Linked DNA regions of Struthio camelus. The protein of the gene in region 2 binds, or shares a complex with, the protein of the main gene of each other region. Links are inferred from orthologs where the notes say so. Each region holds a gene or a part of one and is shown on either strand. Other genes may lie near its edges.

The links.
Region 1: NUP153 (region 2) and NUP160 share a complex: the UniProt entries of both Homo sapiens proteins name them as parts of the nuclear pore complex. The link is inferred for Struthio camelus from reciprocal best matches to the Homo sapiens genes NUP153 and NUP160.
Region 3: NUP153 (region 2) and NUP107 share a complex: the UniProt entries of both Homo sapiens proteins name them as parts of the nuclear pore complex. The link is inferred for Struthio camelus from reciprocal best matches to the Homo sapiens genes NUP153 and NUP107.
Region 4: NUP153 (region 2) and NUP85 share a complex: the UniProt entries of both Homo sapiens proteins name them as parts of the nuclear pore complex. The link is inferred for Struthio camelus from reciprocal best matches to the Homo sapiens genes NUP153 and NUP85.

What each region holds. Positions count from the first base shown.
Region 1 is NC_090946.1:5,690,228-5,697,509, reverse strand, and holds the start of NUP160 (nuclear pore complex protein Nup160), read left to right. Parts: upstream 1-4,275; 5' UTR 4,276-4,308; coding exon 4,309-4,511; intron 4,512-4,657; coding exon 4,658-4,868; intron 4,869-6,417; coding exon 6,418-6,640; intron 6,641-7,025; coding exon 7,026-7,104; intron 7,105-7,282. Other genes in the region: PLEKHG3 (pleckstrin homology domain-containing family G member 3), read right to left, coding at 1-190. UniProt on the Homo sapiens protein: Functions as a component of the nuclear pore complex (NPC). Involved in poly(A)+ RNA transport.
Region 2 is NC_090943.1:99,955,741-99,962,814, forward strand, and holds the start of NUP153 (nuclear pore complex protein Nup153), read right to left. Parts: upstream 3,007-7,074; 5' UTR 2,942-3,006; coding exon 2,852-2,941; intron 2,669-2,851; exon of another isoform or gene 2,378-2,668; coding exon of another isoform or gene 2,309-2,377; intron 1-2,308. UniProt on the Homo sapiens protein: Component of the nuclear pore complex (NPC), a complex required for the trafficking across the nuclear envelope. Functions as a scaffolding element in the nuclear phase of the NPC essential for normal nucleocytoplasmic transport of proteins and mRNAs.
Region 3 is NC_090942.1:40,445,307-40,453,141, forward strand, and holds the start of NUP107 (nuclear pore complex protein Nup107), read left to right. Parts: upstream 1-4,827; 5' UTR 4,828-4,940; coding exon 4,941-4,948; intron 4,949-6,605; coding exon 6,606-6,691; intron 6,692-7,835. UniProt on the Homo sapiens protein: Plays a role in the nuclear pore complex (NPC) assembly and/or maintenance. Required for the assembly of peripheral proteins into the NPC. May anchor NUP62 to the NPC. Involved in nephrogenesis.
Region 4 is NC_090960.1:8,208,591-8,216,402, reverse strand, and holds the start of NUP85 (nuclear pore complex protein Nup85), read right to left. Parts: upstream 3,003-7,812; 5' UTR 2,932-3,002; coding exon 2,899-2,931; intron 2,803-2,898; coding exon 2,709-2,802; intron 2,513-2,708; coding exon 2,350-2,512; intron 1,977-2,349; coding exon 1,906-1,976; intron 1,486-1,905; coding exon 1,442-1,485; intron 591-1,441; coding exon 521-590; intron 1-520. Other genes in the region: uncharacterized protein, read left to right, coding at 3,298-3,430, 4,399-4,511, 6,792-6,863, 7,118-7,316. UniProt on the Homo sapiens protein: Essential component of the nuclear pore complex (NPC) that seems to be required for NPC assembly and maintenance. As part of the NPC Nup107-160 subcomplex plays a role in RNA export and in tethering NUP96/Nup98 and NUP153 to the nucleus.

The DNA.
Region 1 (7,282 bases), on a different chromosome or scaffold from region 2:
GGGCGTAGGTGCGCTCCGACTCCACGATCTCCAGCACCACCCGCTCCAGGTAGCCGGGACGGGCGCCGCGGGGTGCCGCCGGGCGCCCGCCGCGGGGTGCCCGCCAGCTGGCCGGCGACGCGTTGTTGTTGTTCCTGTTGCCCGGCCCGCCGGCCCGCTCCTCCAACCCGTCTCCGGCCGCCTCCTCCATGGCCAAGCCGGCGGCCGGGGTTCAGAGCCAGGCGCCGCGGCCGGGTGGCCGCCGGCATGTCGGCATCTCGGGGGCCGCCGGCCCGGCCTGCGGGGAGACGCGGGGCGCCGCACGTCAGGCCCCCAGACGTTTGGGGAGGAAAGGGGGGTGGTGGTGGGGGGGGGGATGAAGAGGATCCCACCCCTCTCCAGGCCCCGGACCCCGGCCGGGCCGTGGCGAGGCCCGAGGCGCTCGGAGGCCAGACCCGAGGGTGACCTCGCGCTCTCCCCCCTCTCTCCACCTCCGCCTTTCGGGGCTCCCTTCCCTCTTACCCCCGAGCGGCCCGAGGAGGAGGAGGAGGAGGAGGAGGAGGAGCGCGGGCAGGCGGGCGCCGCCGCCGGGCAGAGGCCTCGAGGGTGCCGGGCCGCCAACCGGTCAGGCCGGTTCGCCTCGGCTCCTCCCCGGCGTTTCGGGCCCTACCGGGAGGTTGGGGAAAGGGGGGGGGGGTCCGTTCCCCTATTTTGGGGGGGGGGGGCGGTGGGTGCCGTCTGGGCGGGAGGAAGACGAAGGAGAAGGCCGCCGGCGGGTCGCCGTCCGGCCTAATCGGCTCAAGGCGCCGACCTGGGGGGGGATTTAGGGAGCCGGGCCGACGTCACCGGCAGACGGGGGCGGCCGGGGCGGGGGGGGGATCGGCCCCGTCCCGCGGCGAGGCGCGTCGGGCGCTTCCCGCCTTCGACGCCTGTCCGTGGGTCGGGAGCGGGAAGGGAGGCGGCGGCGAGCTGGGGGCCGGAGGACGGAGATCCCGCCGGAGCAGCCCCATAAGACGGGGCGTTGTGGGGTGGCTGGGAGGGGGGGGGATCGCCGCTCAGCAGGCGTTTCGGCCCCGTCCCCCCCCCAACCCCGGCCGCCCTGGCAGAGCCACGACGGCCGGCCGGTCCCAGGGCCGAGGCGTCCCGGACGTGGGGGGGGGGGGGGGGGGGGGGCGGAAGCAGAGGTGGTGGTGGTTTGGGGGGGGGGGTGGCGAGGGGTCACCCCCACGTTAGGCACCCGGCCGGCTCCGTCGAGCCGAGCTGCACCCCCCCACCACCACCCCGCGCGGGGGCCGCCCAAGCCGCTTAATCCCGCCGCGTGGACGTGGGGGGCGCGGAGTGGGGTGGGGGTGGGAACGACCCGTCCCACCGCAGCACCGTCGGGACGAGCAGAGGGGGTGGGGGTGGGGGGGGCGGCGCACCCCTCGCCGGCCCCGCCGCGACCCACGGCCACGCCGCGGGGCAGCCCGCCGCCGCCGCCGCCAACACCGCCGCCCCCCTCGGGGCGCGCGCGCGCCCGCGCGCCCCCCGCCCCGCGCGCGCGCGCGCCCGCGCCGCACTCACCCCGCGCCGCCGCCGCCGCCGCCGCCGCCGCCCGGGCCGTGCCCGTGCCCGCAGGAAGCGGCGGACGAACGAGCCGCGGGAGGCGGAGACTGTGACCGCCCCGCCCGGGCCGCTCCGACCTCGCCCCGGTACCGGACACGGCGCTGTCGCGGTTATGGTGTCCCGGACACGGTCCCGTGGGGAGCGAGGGTGGGGGGGGGGGAAGCGGTGCCGGCACCCACCCGGGCTGGGGCACCCTGGCCGTGTCCCTAGGGGGGACCCACGGCCGTCTCCGCGGGGGTGCCTCTAGGGGCTCGGGCGTCCCACCGGGGTCCCTGCCCGCCCCAGGGGACGTGGGCACCCACACAGGACCCCCACCCCAGGGGATGTGGCACCTCCCTGGGGTCCCTTCCCCAGGGGACGTGGGCACTTCACTGGGGTCCCTTCCCCTGGGGGACGTGGGCACCCGAACAGGGTCCCTGCCCCGAGCTGTGGGCACCTCACTGGGGTCCCCACCCCAGGGACATGGGCACCCAGATGGGGTCCTTTCCCCGGGGCACATGGGCACCTCACTGGGGTCCCTTCCCCAGGGGACACGGGCACCTCACTGGGGTCCCTTCTCTAGGGGACACGGGCACCTCACTGGGGTCCCTTCCCCAGGGACACGGGCACCCAGATGGGGTCCCTTCCCCAGGGGACACAGGCACCCAGACGGGGTCCCTTCCCAGGGGACATGGGCACCTCCCTGGGGTCCCTTCCCCAGGGGACGTGGGAACCTCACTGGGGTCCCTTCCCCAGGGGACACAGGCACCTCACTGGGGTCCCTTCCCCAGGGGACACGGCCACCCAGACGGGGTCCCCGCCCCGGGGGACACGGCCACCCAGCCAAGATCCCCGTCCATGCGGGGTGCCCCACCAGAGCCGCCACCGGCGCGGGCACGTCCCCCGGGGCCAGAGGTGGGTGCTGCGACAGCCCTTGCCGCTACCCAGAGCATGACGGCGGGGGGGGTGACGAGGAGGAAGCTCCATCCCGGGAAGGGGGCCAAGTCGAAAGCCCCCCGGGCGGGGGGTGGGGGGGACCCGGAGGGGGCGAGGTGCCCAACCGAGCAGCCCCGCGGCACCTGCCACCGCTAGAATGGGGCCATTCTGCCGGCGGGCAGACAGAGGGCTTTGTGCCGCCGGGCGCCGCGCTCTCGCCTTCCCCGCTCAAAGGCAGGATTGTTCAGGGCCTCGTGCTCCCTCTGACCCCCCCCCCCCAGTGCCAGCTCCCCCGGGGAGGTGTTGGGAGTGTGGTGGTGGTGGTGGGGGGGGGCGCTCACCCACCTTTCCCGGCTCGAGCAAAAGCGCATTTTTGGTTTTGTTTTTTTTTTTTTCGCAAAAGCAAAAGTGCTTTTCCTCGTGGCGCCCATCACCGTGGTATCATGCCTGCTCCCCCCCCACCTGTCCCGCCCCCAACCTCCCGAAGGTCACAGCCGTCCCTTTGCCCTTGAGCTCAGCTCCCGCTCAGCCTGGTGTTATAGGGGTGGCGGGGAGGGGAGGGGGGGGGATCCAACTCAGACCCCCCCCCCCACCCCCGGGCGGGTTTAAAGCTTTCGTGGGGAGCGGGACAAGCCGAGCGCCGCCCAGGGACGAGCGATTTGCTTCTACCTGAAACTCGAGCGGCCCTCGACAAAGCGGGAGCGCGAAGGGTCGCGCCTTATCTCCCGCGCGGACGAGGCCGGGGCGCGCGATGAAGGCTACGCGCTCGCCCCGCCCGCCGAAAACGTTTTTGGGGGTTTTTGGGTTTTTTTTTTTTTTTTTTTTTTTGCATCTGTTATTAGCAGCGGACGATTTGCAAGCTAACGCGGGCCTCCTGCCCGCGCGGCGCAGCGGCGGAGCTTGGGCGATTTGCCCGGCGAGGCTCGGCAAGAGGAGGGCGCGCGACTCGACCCCGAACCCCGCAGCAAACCAAACGGCGCTTGCCGCAGCGGCGCCGCGCAGCCGGATGCGCGAGGGGCGTACGGGGCGTTTCGGCGCGCGCGTCCCCGTGCCTTCTCCCGCCCAGCCCTACGCCGGGGCGCGTCCCCATCTTGTGGGTCCCGGCTCCTCTCCCCCAGGCTCCAAACCCCTCTCCCCGGCTACGGTCCCCCTCCTCCTGGCCCCCTTCCCCAAACCCCATATCCCAACACCTCTCCCCCCTGCGCTCGCCCCTCTGCCCCAGGCCCCAGCCCCTCTCCCCTGGCCCCCTTCTCCCAGGCCCCATAACCCACCCCTCTCCCCAGCCCCTCTCCCCTGGCCCCCTCCTCCCAGGCCCCATAACCCAGCCCCTCTCCTCTGGCCCCCTCTCCCCAGCCCCCTCCTCCCAGGCCCCATAACCCAGCCCCTCTCCCCTGGCCCCCTTCCCCAGGCCCCATAACCCACCCCTCTCCCCAGCCCCTCTCCTCTGGCCCCCATCTCCCAGCCCCTCTCCCCCAAGCCCCATAACCCACCCCTCTCCCCAGCCCCTCTCCCCTGGCCCCCTTCCCCAGGCCCCATAACCCAGCCCCTCTCTCCTGGCCCCTCTCCCCAGCCCCCATCTCCCAGCCCCTCTCCCCCAGGTCCCTTAACCCAGCCCTCTCCCTCAGCCCCTCTCCCAGACCCCCTTCCCCATTTCCCAGCCCCTCTCCCCCTGCCTCGGCCCCTGCTTCCCCCCACCCCCACCCCGTTCTGCCCGCTTCCCGTGGTGCCCCGCGGCGCCGCTTTCCCGTGATGCCCCGCGCGGCGGGCGGGCGGGAAGGCAGGAGGCGGCGGCGGCGGCGGCAGCGGAAGATGGCGGCGGCGCTGGCGGAGCGGAGCTGCCTGGAGCTGAGCGGGGCGGCGCGGGGCCCGCCGCGGCGGGTGCGGGAGGTGGTGTTCAGCCCGCCGGGCACCGTCCCGGCCCCCGCCGGCCGTTACGGCGACAGCGCCGGCGGGTTTTGCTACCAGGAGAGCGCCCAGCTCGCCGCCGTCACCAGGAACCGCTTCATACGCTGGTGAGTGAGGCCGGGCCCGCCCTCCCCCCCCCCGGCTCCGGCGGCCTCGGCCTCTGCCCTCGCCCTGCGGCCTGGGCCTGGGCCTCTCCAGTGCCGCCAGCTGGGCCCCCGCGCCTCTCCCCATACCCTCCCTGCTCTGCCCGCAGGACCACGTCGGGGGACGAGGTGGAGCTGGTGGAGGAGTCGCTGGACATCAACCTGCTCAACAACGCCGTGCGGCTCCGCATCCAGGGCTGCCCGCTGCTGCCGGGCGGCGTGCACGTGTGCGAAGTGCAGAGCCACCTCGTCATCCTTCTCGCCACTGCCCAGACCGTGCACCGCCTGCTCCTGCCGCACCCTGCCCGCATGTACCGCAGCGTGAGTACCGGCACCTGCCTCTCCCGGAGGTCCTGTGCGTAGGCATGGCGTGCAGGTGCTTCCAGGGCCTCCTGCCATGCCAGGCACCCGGCTCCGTCCTGCAAGTATGCAGAGCCGGGAGCCCTCAGGACAGCACCTAAATGAGTAGCGAGATAGCAAAGACCTCAGGGTGTTTCCCATCGAGGTGGGGACGTCGTGGTATTTCCAGCACTGCTGCTGGGCATCCTGCAAACCTGGTGACGCCACACTGCGGTCGTCATGCCTGGGTCATAGGGGCTGACTGGGTATAGAAACATTTATGCTAGATTGCTAACGAATACAAAGCAGAGCTCTTCCTGTGCTTTTTGGAGTTGGGCACACAGATCCACGGCAGTCTGAATATTTCTTCTTAGTAAATTAGTTTGTTTCATAGCTGTGTGATCAAGATTTGTATCCTGTGCTGGAACCCTCTGGTGTTTCCAGAGGCGCAGAGCTGCAGTGTCAGTTTAGGGACGTCTCTTTAGTTTAGTGGTTTAATTTCTTACTCAAGTGACCTCCTAACTTTTCTAGCTGAACTGCTTTTTAGATGTTATAAAATGCTAAACTCACAAGTCCTCTAATTTTTGGCCAAATACAGCAAGTTTGTTCATCAGTGCAAGGTAGATCTCTATGTGGAACTGAAAACTGCTGGAAAAAGTATCTGTCAGTTTGGAGGAAAAATCAAGGAATCTCTCACTTCCTGTAGAGCTGAATTTAGTCAGACTGCGTGCATGGATGAGGCACTGGTCATTGGAATAAGATTTACAGTGTTTCCATATTTATAGTGTTAGAGTGGCTTGGTGTCACTCTGGCAAGCTCCTCATCCTGCTTGTCTCTAGCCTTTGGTTATGGTTGCTGCGCGTGTATTTGTTCTGGTGTTGTATTTGCTCTTTGCAGGTCTTAGGCTAGGCATCGTGACACAGGGGCCAAAATGGTATTTGGAGGTAGGAACTGAGCAGTTCAGAGAAAGACGGCTTGGGCGGGTGTGTAACTTGTCCTGTTTAAATAGTAAGGTATATAATCTCTTTTTGTTGCACGTGGAAGATGGATCTTATGCAAAAATTACGTTGCATGTATCCATCCTGGTGTGACCTCTGGGTATCTCTTGGAGAAATCATAATCTCTTGCATTTAGGGTTCAAAAGAGCATTTCCAAGCGGTGATGCTGTGCTTTTGCAGAGCTGCTTTCTTTCTGGGACCTGTTACCAATGTTTTGTTATGAATTCTCTCACAGCAGCCGATAGAAGTAGGACTGCAGGACTCCTTTGGGGATGTTAGCATATGTCAGGGAGGGAGAGAGCGTTCTGCTAGAAACTTACAGGTTTTTAAATCCTTTCACTCTCTGCTCTTAAAGAGAAATGGTCATGGGTTAAACGTAAGGGAAGCCAAAAGTGGTGGTGAGCAGAGAGGTCTTACCAGAAAGATCCTTTTTATAAAGTAGCAGAGTTGCAAGTGTCGTTCCACTGGTGTTTTTCTGTGGCTGTGTGTGTGTGTTGAGGATTGGTACTCCTTTCTCTGTTTCCCGTTTCCAGGAGCTGATAACAGAGAGCCAAATGCAGTCCGTGTTTACAGACATTGGCAAAGTCAACTTCAGAGATCCTTCAAATTACTACATGATTCCCAACGTGCCAGGCCTAGCATCTAATTCTGTTGCCTCAGCGGCTTGGCTTAGCAGTGAGGGAGAGGCTCTCTTTGCTCTACCCTCTGCTTCGGGAGGAATCTTTGTCCTTAAGCTGCCTCCTCACGATGCACCTGGTAAGGAGTGGGAACAGGCTGTGTCTTCATAAATCTATATCTTTATGGAGCGCGGTTTAGTGTTATCCTGCACGCTAACAAATAGCCTTGTCTAGACAGAAACACCCATTCCGTCCTGGATATGCTTTAGGATATGCTCTGTGTGTGTGTGTGTGTGTCACTGTGGTCTTTGCAGTTGTGCTGGTACATCTCAGCCTGTCCAGTAACGTCCCTCTTCTAGTTTTGGACTTCAGCTGATTTCAATTTTTGTCATGTTTATCTCATAATTTCGCTACACCCATGTGCCCTTCTACATCAGATCTGTGAAGTCCTTTGTTGGTGGAAGTATATTCTCTTGTTAGCAAGTACTCGGTATATTTGTTAATACTACTTTTTCTTTTGAAAGGAACAATTTCAATCGTGGAACTCAAACAGAGCTCAGTGATGCAGCGTTTCCTTACTGGTTGGATGCCAACTGCCATCAGGTTAGTGTTTGGTGACAAACAAATGGAACTTTTTTTTTTTTTTTATTCCCTCACATGGAGACCCTTAGTGTTTCTAGTTGAAATCAAAGATAAGTACGAAGGAGTCAGCATCTATAAATACTTTGTCAAAAAGGTTGAGTAACTTGGTCACAGGATCCAGCACAGTGCTGAAGTTGGG
Region 2 (7,074 bases):
TTTTTTTCTTTTAGTAATAGATCTATAGATAGTATTCACAGTCCCTCTTCTATGTAAGAAATATCATGGTTCAGTTCCCATCATTAATGGAGTGGATTTGAATCCATATCTCCATTTCCCAGAAAAAATACAAACGCTACAAGTCATAGTCATATCTTGCAGACAGCATCTTTTCACCTGTCCTACTTGAGGCTGATTCTTAAAAGGTAGTACTAGATTAAAAAACAAAAACAAACAAACAAAAACATAAGGATGCATGGCTCTAAAGCTTAATGGTCAGGGCATTTGGGAAGAAGGAGCAGGAAACACCAGGCTTGGCATCTCTGCTCCATGAACTATCTAACATAAAACAAGTAAGTTCTGAGAACAAGGAACAAAGCCTACATGTCTCCCCGTTCTTGAAGAAGCACCCCAATCAGCAGGCCAGAGGGCAACATTTTCTCACATACCCTCTTTCTGCCTCAATGAATCATGCATTCTTTTTCTGGATAGTAAACCAGCTTCAGTCAAAAGAACGAAAGACAACATACAGCTTGGCAACTAGGATATTTGCCTGGAAAGTAGATGATGTAGGTTGATCCCTCAAGGCAAAAAAGGAAACTAAAGCAGGGTCTACCACATTCTGAACAAATGCTTTAACTGCTAGTTGTTATATAGCAGCAAGCAGCACCTCCTCTTCCAACTGTCTTCTAAAGCTGTCACCGTATTTTACAGAAGACTGATTTTGCAGTACATGTTACGTATGACCAGAGAATTACCACCTGATCAAACTCCTCAAGAGATTATGGCAAAAGAACAACAACCAGAAAGCAGACACCATGATGCCTAGGCATCATGGCAACCATCCCTCATACGAGTGGAAAAAAAAAAAAAAATCAGATATCCCGGGAACTTTAAAGCTACTAGCTATACTGCCTACAACCTTCAGATAATTTCAGAGTTTGATGATAAGAGACTGAGGGTTTTCAGGACTCTAATTTTGACCACAAGCACCTAAAAAAGGTCTGTCAACAAATTTCCACAGGCTATGATTCTATTTGCTGATAAAAGCAGCGGGATGAGGGTCAGGACTAGAGGTACAGCATCATGTCAAAGTTGCACTGAACACTTTCATGTCTTCCGAAACTCACTACAGAGAGACAATTAGTATTAAATCACAGAATACTTCTGCAGAGCAGACATTGTACTGAAAACAAGAACGCTTGTCAATCACTACAACTTAGGTTAGCTATTTACCCAGACGCTCATCTTCTTATGTAAGTTAACAAGCCGCACGTGGTTAAAAAGCTATTCATGACAATAAATGCACATACCTAACTTCTCTCAGTTTGCCAATTTATTAAATCATTACAATAACTCTCTCTCCAATGCTTCACTGTTAATCTGATTTATGTATTCAAGTTGCAGCATCCAACCCTCTGAGTAGAATCCCACAGATATCCCTAATCATGTGTTTGCTTTGGCACACTATTTAAATAAACCTACTAGAAAATGCACAAAGATAACAGACAACAGAAGAGTTAGAAAACCATCTAGTCTGTAATTACTTCAGATTAATGTGCCAGGTTTATCTACACAGTATGAACACATGCAAGACATGGCACTTTCAGTAATATTCCGTCATTCGCGTGAAACGTTCAACATTTGCTCTGCACGTGTAGTGATTCTTTTGTATTCAGTGTCTCTATCCTAGCTTTATAGGGACAACCTTGCTTATCAGTATACTACATATAAACCTCAAAAAAATATAGTACTCCTCAAAATAAGAAAAAAATGAGTAACAATTCACGCATAATGCTCCCTCAGTTTTCGATATAATACTCATTCCTGTAGCTACTGATAAGTTACTAAGTTACTGATTTAATAATGCAAAGGTTTTGGCTGAAGAGCCCACTTCAGGTTCACATACACATGCGAAGGCATATCCAGAGCAGTGTTTCCGGGCCTCTTGAAAATTCTTAGCAAATAGAAATCAGGAAGCATTTCTGCATCTCCCTCTCCAGCCACTAACTGGTGTGGGATTTTCGTGGTGCAGTGTACAAACTAGCTTTTGTTATCCATCTACTCTATCCTGCAATAAAAAGGAGAACAAATGCCTCATGAATTACATTTAACTTGCGCTGCATCAGCACATTTAAGCACAGGCAAGAGAGACAGGCAAGAGACTGAAGAAATTACCAGATGCAGAACTGAGGGTCCTCCCAAAAACCAAACCTGAAGATGAATAACTATAGCTTCCCTCACAAACTGATTTGCAAGATGGGCTGGAACTTGTGCACAGGGCAAACACTGGAAGAGACGCACTTACATCCCTCAGTTTAACTAGAAGGGGGCTCCTCTGCAGAGCCGCGTTTGCCAGACGGCGACCCCAAACCATTCCTCCTGGTGTCTCTCCGAGGGCGATCAGAGAGCGCGAAGACAAAAAGAGGGTCGCCGAGGACAGGGGCCAGCCCGCTCCCGCCACGGCGGGGCGAAGAGGGGCGGCCGCCCCTCCCCGGCCACCGCGGCGGCACCGGCCGCCTCCCGCCTCTATTTCCTGCCGAGCCGAGGCATCTCCTCCCTCCACCCGGCCGAGCCAGCGGGGGGCAACGAGCGAGCGACGGAGGGAAGGCAAACAAAAGGGGCAGCGCGGCGCTGCGCACACGCGGCGCCCCGCGGGCCCGGCGGCGGCCGCTGCCGCCCGCCCGCCCGCCCGGAAATCCCACAATGCCGCTGCCCCGGCGGGAAACCCCTCCCCTGCCCTCCCCTGCCCGCTCCACCGGGAAACCCCGGCCCGGCCCGGCCCGGCCCGGCCCGACGGGGCCGCCCTCCCCAGGCCGCCGCCGCCGCCCGCCGCCGCGCCGCGCCTCACCTGCTTACTCCTGGCGTAAGGCGGCTTCGCGGCGCCCAGGTGGTACCGCCGGGTCCGGATCTTGCCGCCGCCGCCGCCGCCCGAGGCCATGTTGGGATCCTGCCCCCCTGCTGCCCCGGCCGCGCCGCGCGCAGCGGGCCCGGCCCCCGCCGCCTCGTGCGGCCCCGCTCCTCCCCTCCCCCCCCACCCACCCCACTCCCCCCGCCCGGCCGCCCTCCCCCGCGGCGCGGCTCGGCGCGGCCCGGCCGCCCTCTCCCCCCCCCCCCGCCCCTCTGTGCTGTCACCGTCTCTCTAGAGACGCGCCCGGCTCGGCCTGCTGGCGGCTGCCGCCCGCCACGCGCCGCGCGGCCTGCGCGGGGGCTCCGCGGCCTGCCCCTCCCCGCCGCGCCGCGCCGCCCCCCCCCCCGCGCGCTCTCTCTCTCCCTCACGCGCGCGCGCTCTCACTGCCCCCTTCCCTTCCCCCCACCCCCGCCGCGCGCGCTCGCTCCTCTGCGCTCCGCTTCCCCCCGCCCGCTCGCGCGCGCGCGCCCTTTGCCTGCTCCGCGCTCGGGCGCCGGCCGGCCCCGTCCTGCCCGCCCGCCCGCTCGCGCCGCCGCCGCCGAGCCCCTGCACCCCTCCCCCCTCCGGCCGACCAACCACACGGCGCCCGCCCGTCACTGGCCCGCGCCGCGCGGCCTGCGTCACGCGAGCGGGACGGCCCGGCAGCCCTCGCTCGCTCCCCGCCCCGGGCGCTCTCGGGAAACGTAGTCCGCGGCGGGGCGGGGCCGGCAGCGGGAGAGGAGGAGGAGGAGGAGGACGCGCGGAGCCGGGCGCCCCGGCGGCGCCCGTCCTCCTGCGGAGCGCGGGGGCTGCCTGCGCCGGCACCCGCGAAGGGCGTGAAAATCCCCCCAACTGCAGATGAGCGAGGCCGAGAGCTTCGGAGTTTCAGGCGCCAGGTTCGCGCTGGGCCGGGCAGGGCCCGCGGGCCGCGGAGCGACGCGCTCCCCCGCGGGCTCCGGCCCTCGCGCAGGGGGAGGCTCGCCGGGGCCGGCGCGGAGGCTTCCCTCCGTTAGTCCCAGCGAGCAGGCGAAGGGACGCGTGGAGAAGGTGGAAAGCGAGCTTGAAAAACAGGAGGGGAGGAGGGAAGGCGGTGTGACTTCAGGACCCCACTACAAACTGCGTGTAAGCAAGAAAAACAGCAATCTCCAGGTTTAATGTCATTCATTTTTGGCTAACAGGAACCACGTGAAAAAAGATAAGCTTCAACCTAGCTTTCTCTACCTCAAGACAAGATGGGTTTTCATTACACGTTGGAAACATGTAAAATATTTTAGTTTCTTATGAAACTTTATGCTATGAAAAGTTAAAAATTGAGAAAGATCTATGGCTCTATGCCTTATTCGGTGCACTGATGGTGCACTTATTTGGCCCACTCTGTTAACAATGGAGCTGAGCAGCGACTCTCAACCACTCAATGTAAAAGTCAATGAAAATGTTTCATCACCCAAAACGCAACACAGAAGGCAATAAAAAAGTTTTTCTCGTGCAGTGATGTAGAACAGAGACTGTGGTCACTGAGTCTATCACAGATACTCAACAATGAAAGACAGACCCATAATACAGTATTTCACAACCCCTTTCACCCATCTCCACCAAAAAATAAAAGCAGTCATCACAGCAAACACCTTAAGAAAAACCTTATCAAACTCAAGGGTTTAGGAGAACTCCCACCAGTAAGGGTAGTTCTGAAGGCCTCAAGAAAAGCAACCCAGTGGCAGCAGTCCTTGCTTTTAGGAGGAATCTTACTTGGGATTTTTGCACCGTAAAGTCTTTGCTTCTTGCTTCATATTGGAACTTTTCAACCTTGCTGGTATCTTCCCAACTCTCTGGCTTTGCCAGCTCTCAGTCCACTTATTAGTCCTTAGTCCTGCCTTCATGGTCATCCAGATCAGATGACACTTCTGAAATCCCAGTGGAGTGGAATTACTTTCTAGGTATTTCTCCCCATAAACCGGACCTGCAGAACTCTGGTCTCTTCCTCTCCTCCCCTACCAGTATAACTACAGTTGTGTGTCCAGTAGGATGCTTTATGCCAGCCAGGACAAGGAACACATGGATTTAGAAGGCACCTGTAAGAACCACCTGATCTCTTGTAAGCTGCTAGTGGATTACATTTGCAGACCAATTCTACTGCAAGGCTCTATTTCCACAACATACAGGTCAAAAAAAAGTTTATAGCAAAATAATCAAAAGAGATCTACATCAGTATCATCAACAAAATACAAAGAAGGTAACATGTTAGCCTGAATTTTTCATTGTTTTCGCCAAGGAATCAATTACTGCGCTAAATTGCGCTTCTGCTAGGAGAAGGGTATCAGGACAGACTTTCATTACGGGAAGAACAAGCTTCACAAAGGGATAAAAATTGTGCCTTTTAATAACGGTCATTTATCAGTAGTAATGCCGACTTCTAAAAGCCTATCTGCACAAAGATTTGACTAAAGTTACTCCTACAGTGGACACTCTTAAGAGATGCTCCATTTTAAAATAAGATTCTCTTTCTCATGTATGCTAAGTATATTAAGAGAACCTGAAACAAGGTTTCCTCTTCCAGATGAGCATCCAAGGCAGCTACACTGCAACTTTTCTCTGTAAATTCATATGCTACTTACTTTACTTACATTTTACTTATTTAGAACAATTTCTATATAGTGACATGCACTTAATGACACTTATTCAGAAATGCTTGCAGGTGTACTCAAATGAACAATGTCTATTAACATGAGTCACTGGAGTTGAATAAGCATCGTTTAAAATGAGCCAAAACAAAAGGCAAAGGCAAAACAAAAAAAAAAATCCAGCGGAATGAGAGGGATCATCAGCATTTGATGAATCTTCCCTGTGAGTTAGATCTGCAAGTTTACTTTGAGGTAGTGCTAGAAAGAAGCTGTTGGTCCAAGAGCATCCTGCAAAAAGAAACAGTAATGGCTTAAGTAACTCTTTACCCTTTTTGTCCTGTTTCTTTTTCCCTGCTCACAACTGTAGGATCAGTAACCCCTCATACCACTGTACTAAAGCCATTCTTTTCAGAGCAGGGATAGGAAACGTTAAAACCACTGTTCCAGAAGAAACCAGCAAATCTTGAGTAAAGGCACTGTCTACTGCAACTAGGTACAATGAAAAAAGTTTATGAAAGTATTCCTGGATAGTCTTACAAAACACTTTCATTAAGCTTGAAGAAAAAAAACTTTCATATGGATAAAATGGAGACAAAACAAAGAACCAGAAGCAGTGAGACATGGTGGTGTTGAAAAAGTTGCTTCTAAGTTTTTTTGTTTGTTTTTTAAGGAAAGCTCCCACTGCAATCACATATTTGTGGAACTGATAGCAGACACCCCTATGATGCGTTCAAGCCTTTGTGTAAGCCAGCTAATATGTTGGTAATTGTAAAACAGCTGAAAGTTTGTTAGCGAGTGTAAATTGTGTGAGTGTGGTGGCTATGGACTGAGACTGTATTGAGGTTCATATGCAGTGGTGCTGTCACTGTCAGACTAAGTGAAATTACATAGCTACTTGGGCCCCACATTACACAGTTCGCGCATTATGGATCAAACTCTCAACGGCCAAAATTCAGCATAGATACTCTAGAGCAATCAGTCAGCATTCCTAATGGGCCAACACATATTATTGGATTTTTAATTGATAGCACAGAAGATTTCCACAGACTACTTACTGGAATGTAACTGCAGTGTTAAGCAGTACTATGCAAGCCACTTCAAGCAGCACGTAACTCAGGCACAGAGCTGGAAGCTGCCCTCCTTCCTACGTATCCTTGCTGCTCATGGTGATAGCACCTACTAGCTTCAAAATCCTTTGTGCAGCAGAGCAGCTTTTAATACTAAGCTCAAGCACCACAGCTATGCGTTAAAGTTGGCATCAGAAGTTCTTCCAGGCTTTCAAAGCTTAACACTCCCATTCAAATTCAAGGAGCTTACATTTACCATCTCGACAGTTCTCCCCTCAGTCTCCTAAAACAATTCCATACATGCATGCAGGCAATCCCTTTCCTACCCAGTCAGATTCTCCTCACCCCATCTATTTCACTTCCACCTTCCAGCAAATTCTCATAAACGTGTTCCTCACCATCACCTGTCAAAGACTCCCAGTTCACACAGTGGAAGTGCCCAACAAATCCCTCTTCCCAGCTACCTGGCAACTAGCTCTTCCCAAAAAAGGGAGAGAAT
Region 3 (7,835 bases), on a different chromosome or scaffold from region 2:
ACAGTAACCACTTCTAGAAAAGACTCCAGTCTGCTGAAATTTTTGAACACATTTTTAAATGTCTTGAGGATAAGTGCTTTGTGTACAAAGCTTAAGAGGTTTATACTTCCGCTACTTCAATAGAAACAGAACGTTGTCCATACTGAAGCAAGAACAACTGAAGAATGCAGGCAGGCCTACTTATATTCAAATGAGTAGGAGGAGAAATGTTCTTTACTCATAAACATGCCTCTTAGAGTGATTAGTTTACTTTGGTCCTTCAAAAAGATATGGTTCTACTTAAAGCTCTGGATGATAACATACATAATTCATATTTTATCCAAATTAACGCAGTAATTTTCCAAATTCAGTGCTATACTTATGTATTGCTGCTTACTGATTGTAAAGTTAGTTTATGCTTACAGTGCACACAAAGTTTGTGACTGTTTTTATTTCCACCCTAATCTGAAATTGGTATTTGTCAATATCTCGAGTGTCTGAGCTTTCTGTGGAAAAAGTTATGTTTATGCCCTGAAATATAAAAGTATTATTTAAGTGAATTGCACTCTTTCCCATTAGGACTTCTTCCTTTCAGTGCAAATTTATTATCCCTTACATTGGTATTAATGCTATTCTTCATTCTCAAATTATTCTGTAAAACGAATGTCTACTTGCTTATCTTAAAGTAATACTTAAGACTTTTCAAGATGTTTTCAGATGCCCAAATGAATGGCACTGTAAACTCAAACTACTACTATTCTCTGCAGAAGAGAACATAAGAGAACTTGTGGAAAAGTACTGTAGAGTTAGATACTAAGTTTGTTTCATAATATGTACTGTGATATTGTGATGCTAGAAGGGGGAGGTGGGAGGAGAATATTGCTGAAGTTTTGATTAAAGCTGTGCATTTCTCTCTGGTTCTGGTGTAATTAGAGTTGCTGTTTTCTCATGGGTGAAGACCAGAGATGAGGATTTTCTTCTTTTTAAAAAGCGAAATGAATTGTGGATGAACCAAGTCATGGATTTTTCTAAAATTTTCTAATCCTTGCCAATTTGGGGGGTTAATTTAAGGAGGGGGAGAAATTCTGCCACAATAGTGAACTCATTCTAGATAAGCTTCAGTTTAAACTTATCAACAAGAGAAAGTTATTCCTTGACCTAAATTGTCAAAAGTGGTGCAGCTATCTGTAACTCTTCTTAATTTTTGAATTGTAATACAAAGATGCAGCTAAGCATCAGTGTAGACAAGAAGCTTTGTAAACTTCCATGGTAAAGCTGCTACCCCAGCAGCATCAAGCTGTACTTCAGTCCATAACTATTTTTATTTAGCCTGTGTATGGGCAGGAGAATAAAAAATAAAGCAAAAGTTGTTCAAATATGTAACAAAGTACAACTGTGTGTGGTTCTCTAAGGCAACATTAGACAAGCAGAACTCATAATTGAATTAAGGTCTTATTTCTCAGTCTCGAGCACCCTATGCTTTCATTTTTTGAGAGTTTTTGAACAACTTGATTCTTAAAACCTAATTTAACTTCTGTTATATAAAGCCAAACTCTGGAATGGTACTTGACTTCCATTTTTTTCTTTATATTCTCAGTCTGGAAATATAAGCAAAGTTATGTTTTGTATTCTTATTTTGTTCTCAGTGTTGACATTTGGGCCTCAAACATACTTTCAGAGTTCAAAAAAGGAAGGGTAAAGCAAACATCTTCAGAATTTTGAATCATCAAGCAGAGGGTGAATGGAGAGAAGAATGTCTTCATAATTCCACTGTATGCAATAAAATAAAACACTTTAATCAGTACTGAATCACTTTAGCCTCAAGAAATATTAGTCATTTCTAACAGTTCTACAGCTTTGATGTTTCAAGAAAGTTCACTGACACAGTTTTTCCTTCAGGATTGTGGCTGGGGTAGACTACTCAACTGAAAGAAATTGTAATTCATGAAATTTTTTTCCCCCTCTCCTACCATAAACCTTCGGAATGTTTTCTCCAATCTTGGATTCAAACTGCAGTTATAGTGGAAATTCTAGTTCCTCCTTTGGTTGGTGTACTTTATCTTTCAATAATATGTGTTGTTTTCTTTTTTTTTTTCCTTCTAGATCTAGCAGGGAGGATTTAGTAACTTCAGTCACATCCTGAGTATAAAAATCTGCATCTGAAATCCTAACTCTCCTAAGTGGGACTCACTGCCTGTGAGGTGCCAAATACAGCAAAGTCCCTTGGCACTGCTATCATGATTTTCAGACACAAGTAAAATGACACCTACTTGTCTATTCTTCTTGCCTTTTTAATAGTTTTATTCATCTGAGCTCCATCCATAAGAGTAGGCACAGGAGTCAAAATCCATTTAGGAGTCCCTCAGGCAGCTGTCATTTGAGAGTCAACATTGGCATTTTAATACAAGCAAGTATATGCCCACTTTCAACCTTGAGAGTGGAAAAAAAAATGTTTATGCTTTAAAAAAAAATTGTGAAGAATTAGGCACTTCCAGGAACGTTTGAACTAGGAGAAGATGGGCTAAAACATGAGATTTCTTTCATTCTCATAACAAGAAACAAGACATAATGTAAGTAGCATGGGGTTTTTTTTGTACTTAAGAAAGCTCAGCTAATGTACTCTTGCTGCTGTCATACTTAACTCATAACTATCAAAAGCAATAGCATAAGAAACTGTGTTAAGAATGTTGAATTTTGGATATGCAAGTATCGTGTATGCAGTTTCACAGTACACTGAGGTAATTTATTTTGATGAAGTGACTATATAGAAACATGCATTGTAAAGGGTAATTTGAGTTTTAAGTTAGTCTACTTTACTCTAACTTAGTGTATCCAGTAAACACTAACTTTTTTTATAAAGCTAGTAGTCTAATACCCTTATAGTGTTGGGACAGAGAGGACTTTTGGGTGATAAACCTGCTATGATTCTGTGTTAGCAGTGCTTGCTGCTGAGTTTTTTTCACTAGTCCTGCCTGTAACTGTGGAGCATTACCAGTCCTCTTGATATCCTGACAACATGGGTGCTGTTAGGATCGGTGTTGATGTAAATATGTAAAACACAAGATGGATTTATAAACTTTAGTATTATAAATTTGGGGTGTTCTGTATATTTCAGGCTAAAGACACACGTTATATGTAACAATGGACTGGTAAATTCATATTCCCTTCTGTTCCTTGGGAGTGTGAGATGCTTGCATGAGAGACTGTTTTGGTTTATTTTCACCCTATCTTTTTTCTTTTCCTCCTACACTAGTCAAAAAACACCTCCCCCGAAACACACTTCAGACTGGGGGAGAGGGCGTATTATTCTTTCTGGAGCCAAGTTGAAGATTAAGGCGGTTCCCCTAGCCTGTATTTAAAGAAGCCGTATACTAAGACAAGTTCTCTCAAGGCCTCCAAATCTTTTCTTTTACTTTTGTGGGTTTTTTTAAGAAAAAAAAAAAAAGTCCCCTTCAGCCTGAGTCTTGCTGCTTTTGCTTTGTTCTCATCTCTTAGGTTCTGCATTGCTTTACTACTTTTATGTATCGCCTCAGGTTCGCTCATTCTCTCTTGTCCCTTCTGCCTTGAGAAAGGGCTAGCGTGGGAGTTTGAGCTGGTGGCAATGCAGAAAATTGAACCAGGTTTGAGTTTGTGCACTGCTCTGCTTGAGTCTCCTACTGCAGTATGGAGATAGTAATGCTACGCTGTCTTGTGAAGAGCTCTTGAGAACCAAAATGTACTGAATGTGTAGCAGTATCAAACTGGGATAATAGTTCCTTAATATTCTGTAGCAAAGGTTGTTGCCTGACATGATAGTCTACATGATACAACTTCAGTCAGTCTTGCCTTTTTTTTTTTTTCCCCCCTCTCCATCCAAAACTCCAGTTTCTGGGTGAGTCATCTGCTCTCTAAGGGTCTTCATGCTGCCTCTGTTCCTGGACAGCCGCTCTTCGTCCGGACTGCCAGCTTTTCCTCTTCTTGTGGAGCCTCTTTAGGTTAGGCTCTCCAGCAGCTTCAGGGGAAACCAAGACTGGATGTCCAGCAGGGGCTGTCTGCCCAGTCCTGCTGCCTTTTGCAGCTCTTGTTTTCAGATGCATTGCTCACTAGTCGCTGTCTGAGGAGTTTAAATGCCTGATCAATTTCTTGAAAATGCCTTGTAATTGTAGCTCTGCGTGCAGCTGAGCGCTTGCAAAGGTTTTTCAGTGCTTGCCTGGCTATTTTAACAGCATTGTTTTGAGTAGTTTTCCTTGTACTAGAGCACACTTGAATGAACTGCTGCCAGCACCATCCAGGTATTTGTATTGCTATAGCACGGAAAATTCTGGCCTTCATGAAGTTTGTGAGCCAGCCCTTGAGGAGGGAGGGGAGAGGCGGTTATGGACAACTCACCTCATAGCTTGGTTAACTTGCCCACGGCGGTAAGGTTTGAATAATCCCTGAGGGTACCTATTTCTTTGCCCCTTAAAGCTGGCCGGTCTGGAGAGGAAGGGGAAGGGGAGCAGCCACCCCTTTGGCCTAAGATAACGCAAAGAGCGGGAGGCAAACGCCGCTAGCTAAGGTGGTAAGAAAAACACGTTATTTTACGAACGTCCCGTTAGTCTATGTGTACGGAATGAGATAACTTAAATAGCGTTTAAAAGGTTGAAAGTTTTTTTTTTCTCCTCGCTTTCTCCAGGATCCCACAGCTCGCAGAGCTACCGGCAAGGCAGCCTTACGGCAGCTACGGGGACACCTCTGGGACCGGCGAGGCTCCCTCGGTCCCGTCCCGTCCGGTCCAGCCCGCCAACGGCCGCCGCGCACGTCCCGCCGCTAGCACATCCACTGCTCCACCCCTCCCCGTGGGGGCGCGCATGCGCAGTTCCCCCCCCCCGCCCGGCGCATGCGCAGGCGGCCGGCGTCGCTCCACTGGGGCGGAACTACCGCTTTTACCTTCCGGGCCGGGCCGGCGGGAACGCTCGAGTCGGCTCGCGCCAGCGGCCGTTATGGAGAGGTGGGTGGCGGCGCCGCGGTACCGGCCGCTGCCCCGTGGGGAGGCGGGAGCGCGAAGGCCGCCCGAAATGGAGGCGGCGCGTGGCCTGAAGCGGGGCTGCCGCGGCCACGCGCGGCTGCGGCGGCGAGGACGCGGCCTTTCTTTCTCGCCCGTGTCTGGCGGCGCCGCTGTGGCGGCGTGTCCTCCCCGCCGGGCGTCGTCTGCGCAGGGTGAGGGACTGCGGCGCTGGAGCTGCGAGTCGCGCTCGCGAGAAGCCCACGCAGGAGCGGGGACGCAGCCGCGCCCACTCGGGGTCCGGGTAGTAAGACAACAACAGGAATGGCTTGTCCCGCCCAGAAACTTAATTTACGGAGTAAAAAAAAAAAAAAAATCTAGACAAATTTGGAAATTTTTTTTTTAAAGGCTACAAAAGCAGTCTGCGCTTAAGTAGTATTTCATAACCCCTTATAATATCGAGGAACGTGTTCTGTTGTGCACTAGAGCAGGTGGACGTGATTTGTTCACGTAGAGGAGGAAATACATGAGGAAGGGTTTTAACGTAGCAGAGTAGATACGTTGGAAACGCGTTTTCCATCTAACTGCAGCTAGAGGAATATACTTATTACCTGGTGGAACAGCTTTTTAGGGATGTAGAATATTTTTATATCGCTTGACAGTTTTAAAAGCAGCTATTCTTTTCTGTAGTATACTTTTAGTTTAAACTGGAATTGTTATTTAGGCGAACACTACTTAGTGGGGCCTTTGCAAGGTGTTCTTCAGAAAGGTCTGCTTAGACAGCTGCAGCTGTGCTCTTCAAAAACCACTCATCACATCTTTTCATTCGCATTTTAATTATTGTTGCCAAAATTCTTCCCATTCTGTAATGCATGTGGACTTTCTCAATCTGTGATGATTTGGTGCATCTGAAGAAAAAAAAACCTGATGAAATCATCTTATTCTTTCAGTTTAAATTTTGAATTTCACACTGTCGTGATTTTTCTTGCTTTTTTATTTTTATTTAAAGAAAGGATCTATTGTCATGTAAGAGGAACAACATATGGATTTTCAGAAAAGCCAATCTACTTTTCCTGAGCTGATGAGCAATACTAAATGTTCTGTATGAGAAACTGGATAGCTATACTAAAATTAGCAATGACTTAGCATGGCTTTGTTTTCAATTTCTCAGTTGTGGAGTTGCACAAAAAAGAAAGTCTTAATCCATCCTTAAAAACGGAATAATCTGAAGCAACTTTTTTTTCCTAATGTCTCAGAGTTAATAGCGGAATAGTATTAGGCTACGTTTATGTAAGATTTGGATAAAGAGTTACAGTGCTTTGTGCCCATTGCACAACGTTTTTGGGACTAAAGGATTAATTGATTTGTATCCTTAGTTGTTTCTTTCTCCAGCAGAATAAGAAACAATAAAGTTGTGGAGGGGAGGGAGGTGTTTTGGTGGTTTTTTTTTGTAAAGGTTGCTACTGGCTAAGTGTAGACCTTCCAATTCAAAGGTCTGTTTTTGAAACGTGTCATTACCTTGTCAACTGGGATTTTGAGTCAAGCTATGGAGTTACTAGTGTTTGAAAGGAAGGATTAGCCAGAAGAGAGTAACATCATAATAATAATATTATGTTTTGTTGGAACAGTTTGCTTACTTTGTGTTTCTATTGCTGTTTTATAGAAATGATTTTGGAGACATGTCATCCCCCTGTGATACCGAGATGGCCAGACCTTGTCGAAAACAAAGTTCCCAGAAAAGAGTTTCTAGTATCCTTTTTCTGTATAGTTTTTTTTAATCTTCTGTTTAGTCTTTGCTTGCTATGTTCACAGTGCACAAGTATATTGACACATGCAGCTGATCTTTGACTGTATTTGCAGTGATTATTTAGATTGTGGGCTAGATATGGGTGCATGTGCATTACCTTCCTTCTAAACCTGTGCTGGCACATTTAGGTATCCCAGTATTTTACTGTTTTCATAGGCTTATGAACTCAGGTTGACCTCAGCCTAGAGATCTACGTGAGCCATAGCTGACTCCATCCTTGAGCTTTCTTCACTCCATTATATCTTAATTTTATGTTCTTATGCTCTTTAACCTGTGTTTTGTTTTATCTGAGTATTTTGTTTGTTCAGTGTGTCTTAGCTTCCCACCCACAGTATTATCAAGAGAAGTGCACGTGCATAGATATAAACTTCTACAGAACTTCTTTTAACTTACTTACGATAGCAAAAAATATTATACGATTTGGCAGCTAGTGTAATTATATTTTTCTGATTATGATAGCAAAGGAATCCAGTACATTTCATCCTTCTGTTTTTTGTAAAAAGAATAAAACTGGCAAGGTATTGGCTGTGATTATTGTTGTCCTTCAGAATCATGACGTTCTTAGACACTGACATAACTTAGGGCGCTGGAGCTCTTGCACTACTGCTTGTTAGTAAACCGTGCTTAGAACATTGAAGTTAGTTAACTGAGAGGAAGAGGCAAAGTAGAGCAAGAGAGATGTTTTTGTGGAAGTCATCAGTGTCCTGGAAAAGAAAGCAGGATAGCTTTTTTTGTTTTTTTTTTTTTAATGTATACAGTCTCAGATTTGCTGATCATGAGTTATATTGGATACAGCAGCCCCTTACAAGGGGAGATAATTCTCCTTGATCCAAGCAGTTAGTGAGAAGCAAGGTGTCCTAGACCTGTCGTGCTCTTGTTTCTGAACTTTGCTTTGGGGTGTCTCCAGCCCTCCAGCTTTTAAATTTCTGGTGAAGTATTTCATGGCTTATTTGAGCTTATTAAATGAGACTTTCTGCTTTAGCCCTGCTAAACTTGAAGGAAAAGGTGTATGTTCCTTATAATGTTTTAGCTACAACAAAGATTGTTTCTTTCCAAGAATTCACAGTCATTCTGGGTAGAGGTGAA
Region 4 (7,812 bases), on a different chromosome or scaffold from region 2:
TCTACATTTGTGAACCTCTCATCTGAATTCAGGAACTGAGTAGATAGCATATGTTTGCATACTCTGATCATTTCCTTCTTTAAAGTGCTGATATAAGCAAACTGAATTCAAAGACAACATCCTAAAGTTAAAGGAGTTGGACCAGAGAATGTGTGTTACCTGATATCACCTTACACAGCTGATACTTAAAAATGTGTTTATGCTTAAAAGTCAAATAAAGTGACAACAAATGTTGTTATCACTGTTCTCCATTATATTTTTGCAAAAAAAGCCAATTCATAGTTTATTAGGTGTGAGGGGAAAAAAATAGAAGACAAATCTAACAGTTTGCCATAATTCAAGATGTAGAAGACAATTTGCCAAAGCAGAAAAGGTATTAAAGAGCTTATTGATACTTGTCATTAATATTTCCAAAAAGATATTAAGATATGATACAATGGATGCTATACACTTTTTAAACAAATGAATAGGCAAACAAAAAGCCCTTCAATTTTAACATCAAGGGTAGTTCACTGCTCACCTACAGCTGCTTCAACAAACAGGATCTCACACAAGTTCCAGATCAGCTCCATCGCAGAAAGAATAGAAACCTGAAAAAAGCAGGGACGCGTTTCAGACTTAGTAATTATTACAATAGTGTTCTTTTTTTTCAACTGCACAAAGGCATTTACTGCCCATAGCAATTGCTCAATTCAGCTTGGTTCTTAGAGACAAGAGAAACACGCTACTTATATTTTAGAAATCTAAATTAAAAGACAGAAGCAGGCCACAACTTCTCTATTCACATTCACCTTAGAAAATACTGCAGCGGTTTGTGTATTCAAACACAATAATAATCTGTCATTAGTGGGAGATTAAAATAGCAGAGGAACTGTTATTTTCAGCCTCTTTGCGCTCCTAAGATTTAACGTTACAAACAGCATTCATTTTTGTTTTATAAAAATAATTTACGTTTGCATTTGAGATTGCAAAGAAAGGCCAATTAAGCAACATCAGTGCTGCTAATAGGACAATGCTTCTGTGAGCGCTGTTCTTCCCACAACATTATTCTAGAGTCTGAAAGTCCACTGTGTACTTCCAGAGCTTGCTACAAGGCTCAAACATAGTTGTTGGGAACTTCAGCATTTGAGAAGTGAGGTTTCAGCCAGGTGAGTACTGGCCCACAGCTGGATTTCTTAGATGGCAAGAAAACATCACACCTGTAAGGCTGAATACACATTTAAGAAATGGCAGTATATCCCAATGTTGGGCATCTTTTTACTGTTTTAGAAATACAGGTGCTAACTATTTATACCCATGTATTCTTGCTCACGTACTGTATTCAATACACTAAGCCAGAGCTGCAACTAAAACGCATTACTGCAACAGTGTCGGCCTTGACGACTTTGCTAGCCAACGGTTCCTCTTCAGTTGTGACTGTGCAGACATGACTGCGGATTACCTGAGTACTATACTGGCTGTGCAGGGCAGGGTCCCGAGCTGAAACTGAGGGAAAAATAAGGAAGGTCACAAAACAACGCATTTACCTTCTTTCACCACCCTTTACTGATAAACAGTCCTGGTCACTCACCAATCATAGCCTTAGATGAGTACATGCCTGACAAAGGATAACCTTTTACATCTCTTTGTAATTTTTTTCCCACAAATCTGATATATTTACAGGACAAGGATGAAAGGGAGGAGTAACATTTCTCACTTTTTTGGCAGCAAGCTGCTAATTTGGCCCGTTTCCCATAAAACTGCAACCAGAGAGATGAAAAGGAAGCAAATTCCCCCCCCCGATCAATTAAAACATAGTGCAAAAAATCTCAGTAAAGCAGTACAACTTACAGTTGCATTGTTATTTTTACACTCACAGATAGCATTTCTTTTTATCACAGTAGGAAAACAAACAAGCAAACTTACCAGCTGCCTGGTGCATGTCCTCCATACAGGCTCTTATGACCGAGCGGTAGTTTTTACTCACTTGAACCAATCTGCCAAGCATAAAAAGACCACGTTTAGGAAGAGCTGTTTGAGTTTTAGGTCTTTGGCTGTTGTCTGCTAAAGTTTTCTTTTGTCTGCAGGGTTTTTTTGCGCGAGTAGATTCTTCCTCTACTTGGGCAAAGCTGGTGGAAGGTGGCAAGGCGGGAGGCGCTGACTATATACACGCTACGCACAGGTAAAGGCCTTGCGCAGCAGAGCCTCAGGGCCACGCTGTGTAAAATTGTCCCCCAACAGCTGTTTATACTGCACTGTTATCGCTGATTGACAGCGGCTCTAAGTAGTGCAGGTTGATCGTCCCTGGAGGCAGACGAAAGAACGAGGACGACCTTTGTTCTCAGCACTTCGAAACCACGCTCCACTCACTGTGTTTTCCTGGATTTCCCGGCGAATTCTTCCTCGCTCCTCTGGAGGCCGATGAAGATGCCGTGCGACTCGTTGAAGAGCTTGCGCAAGGTCTGTACGTAGATGTCTTGGTCCTTGCGGACGACGAAGACGCTGGAGGAGCTCGGCCGCCCCTCCACGGCTCCTGCCGGCGTCCGGTCAGAGCCGGGGGGCCGCCGCCAGCGGGTCGCGCCGGCCCCCGGGCAGCGCCGCGCCCCGCCCCGGGCTCGGCAGCCGCTGGCGGCGGCCGGGCCTCCGCGCAGCCCCGGGGAGGAACCGGCGGTGCCGCCCGCCCGCCCGCCCGGCCTCGCCGACGCCAACGGCCGCGCGCCGGCACCCACCTCTGCCGCCGAAGAGCGTCTCGCACACCAGCATCTCCGCGGGGCCCCACTCGAAGCACAGCTGCCTGGCGGCGGAGTCCACGCCCGGCACCACCTGCGAGGGCACAGCCGCTGCGTGAGAGGCGCTCGCCGCCCGGCCCAGCCCGGCCCGGCCCGGCCCTCCCCCGGCCCCGCGCCCGCCCGCCCGCACCATCAGCGGCGGCTCCGCGTCCGGCTCCTCCATGGCGGCGGCCGCTCTCGCCTCCCGCCCGGCGCGCAGGGCCCCGCCGCGGCTGCCCGCGCCGCTGCCTGCGCCCGCCCGCCCGCCCGCCCGCCTCCTTCCCGCCTCCTTCCCGCCGCCGCGCCTCCCGTCAGCGCTGCCCGCCCCGGCGAGGCGCCGGCCGCCGCCGCCGCCGCCGGGGGGAGGGAGCCCGGCCGGTCTCCGCCGGTTTGGGGCAGGCGCTGGCCGCTCGCCCCGGAAGCGCGGCCGAGCTCCAAAGGCCCCGCGGGCGGGAGCGGGGCGGTGCGGGCCGGGCCGGGGTGGGGGGAGTCGCCCTCCTGGCGGGGGGCCACCGCGCCGCCCGGGCGGCCACTGCCTGTCCCGGCAGCGATGACTGAAACTGGCCCCAGCGCAGTAGCGCAGAGGCAGAAGGGGCCTAAGGCAGCGCACCGGGGTGAGCTTCCCCCCCGCCCCGCTCAGGGGCTTGCTGCGCCTTTTCGCCGCCCTCCCCGTGCTGCTGTGGGTAGGTTTTCCCCGAACCTCGTACCTGCCCGCCGTATTTCACGGTGGGGGGGGCGGAAGGAAGCTATCCCCGTGCCTCGTGATAATCGGTTTCTGTTATTTCTTTACGCGCTTCAAACACTTGCAGACAGATGAGCCTGCAGATCGCTGCGGGTGAGGCTCCCCGGAGCGGAGTCGCAGGAGCTCTCCGGCAAGCGCTCCGATACAGCCGACTAATCGGATTTCTGTGCCTTGCTCCTTCGGCTGGGCCCAGCAGGTTAGAGAAGGGCTGGTAGTGAAGCGTTAGATCGATCGTAGTGGGTGGAGGGGCAGTGCTGGCAGGCGGAGAAGGATTCCCGCCTTGCCTCTGTGCCTCATTCCCATACCTGGGGTCACAAATTTTTTTTTATTTTTCCCCTGCTGTGCCTGGGAGTTAATCCCCCCTAGAGACTGGGCACGGTTTGCCTGCTGAGACTGCTGGAGTTTAGTGTGATCAACCCCCTGCTAGCTCTGGGGGCTCAAGTGCCGGTGGAGTTGAACTTGAGTATACCTGAAGAACTTGCTGTGGGAATCATTAGCCATGTGCTGTTTCTTTCCTTCCATTCTGCTCCCCTTCCCTGTCTCGGCATAATCCTCACTTTCTGCCTCCCCCTCTAAGAAGCAAACTTGTTCAGTGATATTCTTTTTAAGAAAAATCTTTAATGATGCTACCTTGCTAAACTCATAGCTGGAAGAAGCTAGCCCCTTTAATGCTGGGGCTTAATGCTTCCCAAGGAAGCTCACTGAGAATTAATTTTTCAAGATAGCTTTAATCATTCACTGTCCTCGTATGACAAATACTGCAACACCCTACTGCTAAATTGCCTTTTTTTCTTACTTTATCAGCACCTGCATCCATCATTTCCAATAAAAATAAAGCTAGCAGTTATCTTTGGTAGGAGCATGTTGCCACACTGATCCTGCTGCCAACAGGAAGCGGTGTCTCTTCAGGTCAGTCAGGAGGGAGGAATGGCCTGTTGTCGGGTAGAAGAACTGAAATCTTCAAAAACCTGCTCGAGACTCTAAGACACATCAGTTTTAAGAAAGCTCTTCCTTTATTCTCGGTAAGATTATTATATTTTGGCAGAATTTAGGGATGTACGTGTGTTTGAATCGCTGCTTGTACATAGTCAAGTTTGCCTGCTGTCTTACAAAATGGTACTGCTCTGTGCTGAAGACTCTTGAGAATATTAGCGTTGGAATAATCTAGATCCAAAATATCCTTCAAGGTGTTACTAAAATGACTGCTGATACAAATCAAAAACCGGATGTTTGAGAGTTCAGCTATAAGTGCTCTTCTGTCACCATCCTTCAAGGATAGGGTTCTGCTTCTATAACTGCGTCTTTTCTAGTGACTGTTTGAAGATTTCATATTGCTTATGTTACCAGCCAGCGCGCAGGAGAAAAGCGAAGAGCCCACTGCTTCTATGGGCATCGTAATTAAAAGCCGCTAATGAATTACAAAGAATACTGTAGAGTTGGCTCTCTCTTTTTACTTGAAATCTGAGGCTTGCCTAACAAGTGAGATCTTTGCAGGAAGGATGGGAGTTGCTATTTGTTTTTCCTGTAGTGAAGCTAAGGAGTTGTCTCCACATTAGTTTGTTTGAGTATCAACCAGGTATCAACTATGACAGTAGAATCTGCGGCTTTCCTAGGGGCGCTTCAGTACACGGGGCATCCCTGTGTTCATTCAGTGACTGTGCTGTGTCCGTTTTCTTGTTTCCCTTGTATCCTTTTCTAAACACATATCTCTGTGGACCGTTCTGTGGGGAACCACAGCCTTATCCACAGAGAGAGGGAGCCAGAGAAGTGGGCGGTCAGCCATTACCAACTATAGCTTACCTTGCCTGACAACCCTAGGGAGTGCCCATCGGTCTCAATGGTCTTTATTTTTCTCTTCATCAGCATGGGGAGAGAGGTGTTGATGACAAGGGGGTGGAAGATCTAGAAGTGAGATAGTGTCCTATTCTGCTCCAGAATCCCATCCTGTGCAAAGAGACACTAAAAGCTGGTACAGAGTAGCTCTTTGGTCCTCTGCTACATTCTGTAAAACCTCAGTTGGCACATACAGTCTGCTTCGCTCGCTAGCTAAAAATTAAAATATTTTTTCATGTCTACAGCCTCTAATGCTCTTGAACTGATAAGGAAGGTGGTTGATTTTTGGGGATGTCAGCTTGGGAATGGTGAGTTTTAGTATGAAATCTTGAAAACTCCAAGCCCTCCTTTTAATGCTGGCTGGAGGTCCACATGTATCTAGAAGGGAGCCTTTCATCTGCGCCTTATCAAAATGGCCTCTGCCTGTCAAGTTCATGCAGTTAAGCAGAACTGGGAACCACTATGTCAGCATCAAACTTCATATGGCTCAGAAAGACTTCAGAGTTTTAGAGTGCAGGCCATCAGTCCAGCCAAGGAAGGCAAAAGCAAAAAAAAAAAAAATTGCCTTGCATTTTCTGGGGGGAGGGTGTGGAGGAAGAAAGCAAAAAAAAAAAAAAAAAAACAGTGCCTGAGAAGGAGGAGAGTTAAGTTGGAAAACAGAAGGTTCAAAAGCTATTTTTTGAGTTGGGGCAGGGAGAGAAAGATCGACATGAACATCGAAAGCACAGAACAGGCAAAATATATGTTCTATTCCGGGGGCTAAATTAGCGTTAAGGAAGAGGAAGGCCTGAATAGGCCACTCAGACTTAAGAGTTCAGGTTGAGAAAGCAGATTTAGTCCTACTTTGTTACTCATGCCTTCAAATAACCTTTTTTTTTTCTATTCTTGCACTAAATTAATTGCTAAGTAATACACAGTTTTGAATGAACTGGAATTGCTTTTGTAGTCTTATGCTTGCTGATGTGAAGCAGCACAAACCCTCTGCTTGCAGCTATGTTAATATCCGAAAAATCTTAATGTCTTAAAATCTCAGCGTCAAAGGGGACGTATGTGTTGAACACCCATGTTCCCTACTCAGGTTTCTTCAACAGAAGGTGGAGAATTAAGCCCAAGTGTTCTGCAAGATCTAGATACATTGTATTTCTTCCTTATCAATCTGCTGTACAAAAATAAAACCAGACATGGAAACATTTATGAAACGGCACGTGGAATTTTCTTCCTGGAGATGGAATTTCTCTGGAATTCTCCCTGTGATGCTTCCCCATTCACTTCTTTTCAACTCTGTGCCTTAAAGAGGAGGAGCTCTGAGAGACAAAGAGCTTTGCCTTTGCCCCCCTCTGCTGTGGCCTGGACCTTGCAGGACTCGGTCCTTTGTAGTTCACAGTGTGGCTTCTCCCCTGCCGCTTGCTCCGAGTGCTGCTGTCTAGCCTGTTATCTTTGCATTTTTTTATCACTCTGTTTATTCTTAGCTGAACTGGATCACCTGTATAATGCGAGTTTCCCCTGTTGCTATGTGGAAAGAAAACCCATCTAAATATGAGGTTTGTAAAAAAACCTGCTCTGTGACTGGGAATCTGTGTGATTAGTGGCAAGGCACACTATGGTGGTATAGCTGAAACAGGTTTTAGCTTATCTTTTTTTTTTTTTTTGAGCGTGTATAATTTCTGCAGAGGTAGTGAAATCCCATATGTTTTCATGAAATCTAGCTTATTTTCACGTCTCCTTTGAATCAGATTTGTTCTATTCTGGTACTGGCCTTAACGTATGTTCAACTTAATGTCGTTCCTGTGTTCAGTTCTTTCATGCTGCTCTCAGGCAGGCCTTGACCAGTTTCACCCTGCCTCCTCAAAGCCACTCCCAAAGAAATCCTCCTGGACCTGCAGCGCACAGGTCTTTGAAAAGGGAGGTGGAAGAAGTGGGGAGAGTGCAGAAGAATGAGACCATCAAGCAACATCCGCCTTGTGGCACCCTTCCTCGCAGCGGTTGCTCCTCTGGTTGTTGCATCATTTCTATAAATAGAATTTAAGATCCTTTGGGAAACGGCACTTTTCCTTTGTTCTGTAGCGTGCCCAGTAAATTTTGAGTCTTGCTTAAACAAGCTGTGTACAAAGGAGAAGAGTTAGAGGGGGTTTTAAGATGCTATATTTCTTTCTTCTCTTGTATAGTCCTGCTTCCCGGTGGTGATAATGGACTTTAGGAGGTAGAAATGGTATTGCCCATTGCTCATGAAAGCTAAAATAAAAGGTGAAGGGAGGTTGTAGGAGACTGGTACGCTGCCAGACCGTGCAAGGAGAATTTCCACAGAATCCTGTAGTGTTCTCTAGCCATAGGTGCTTCTTGCCTACTGGTAGCTTTAATAAATACAAAAACAATAACATGCGTAATTAAATGCAGAGAAAGCAGGCAGGATACACTGATTGGAACACTCTTTGGATGGTAAGTCAAGGAAAATTACACAGGTAGGAGTGGAAAGAGCGGCTCAAAGGAGTA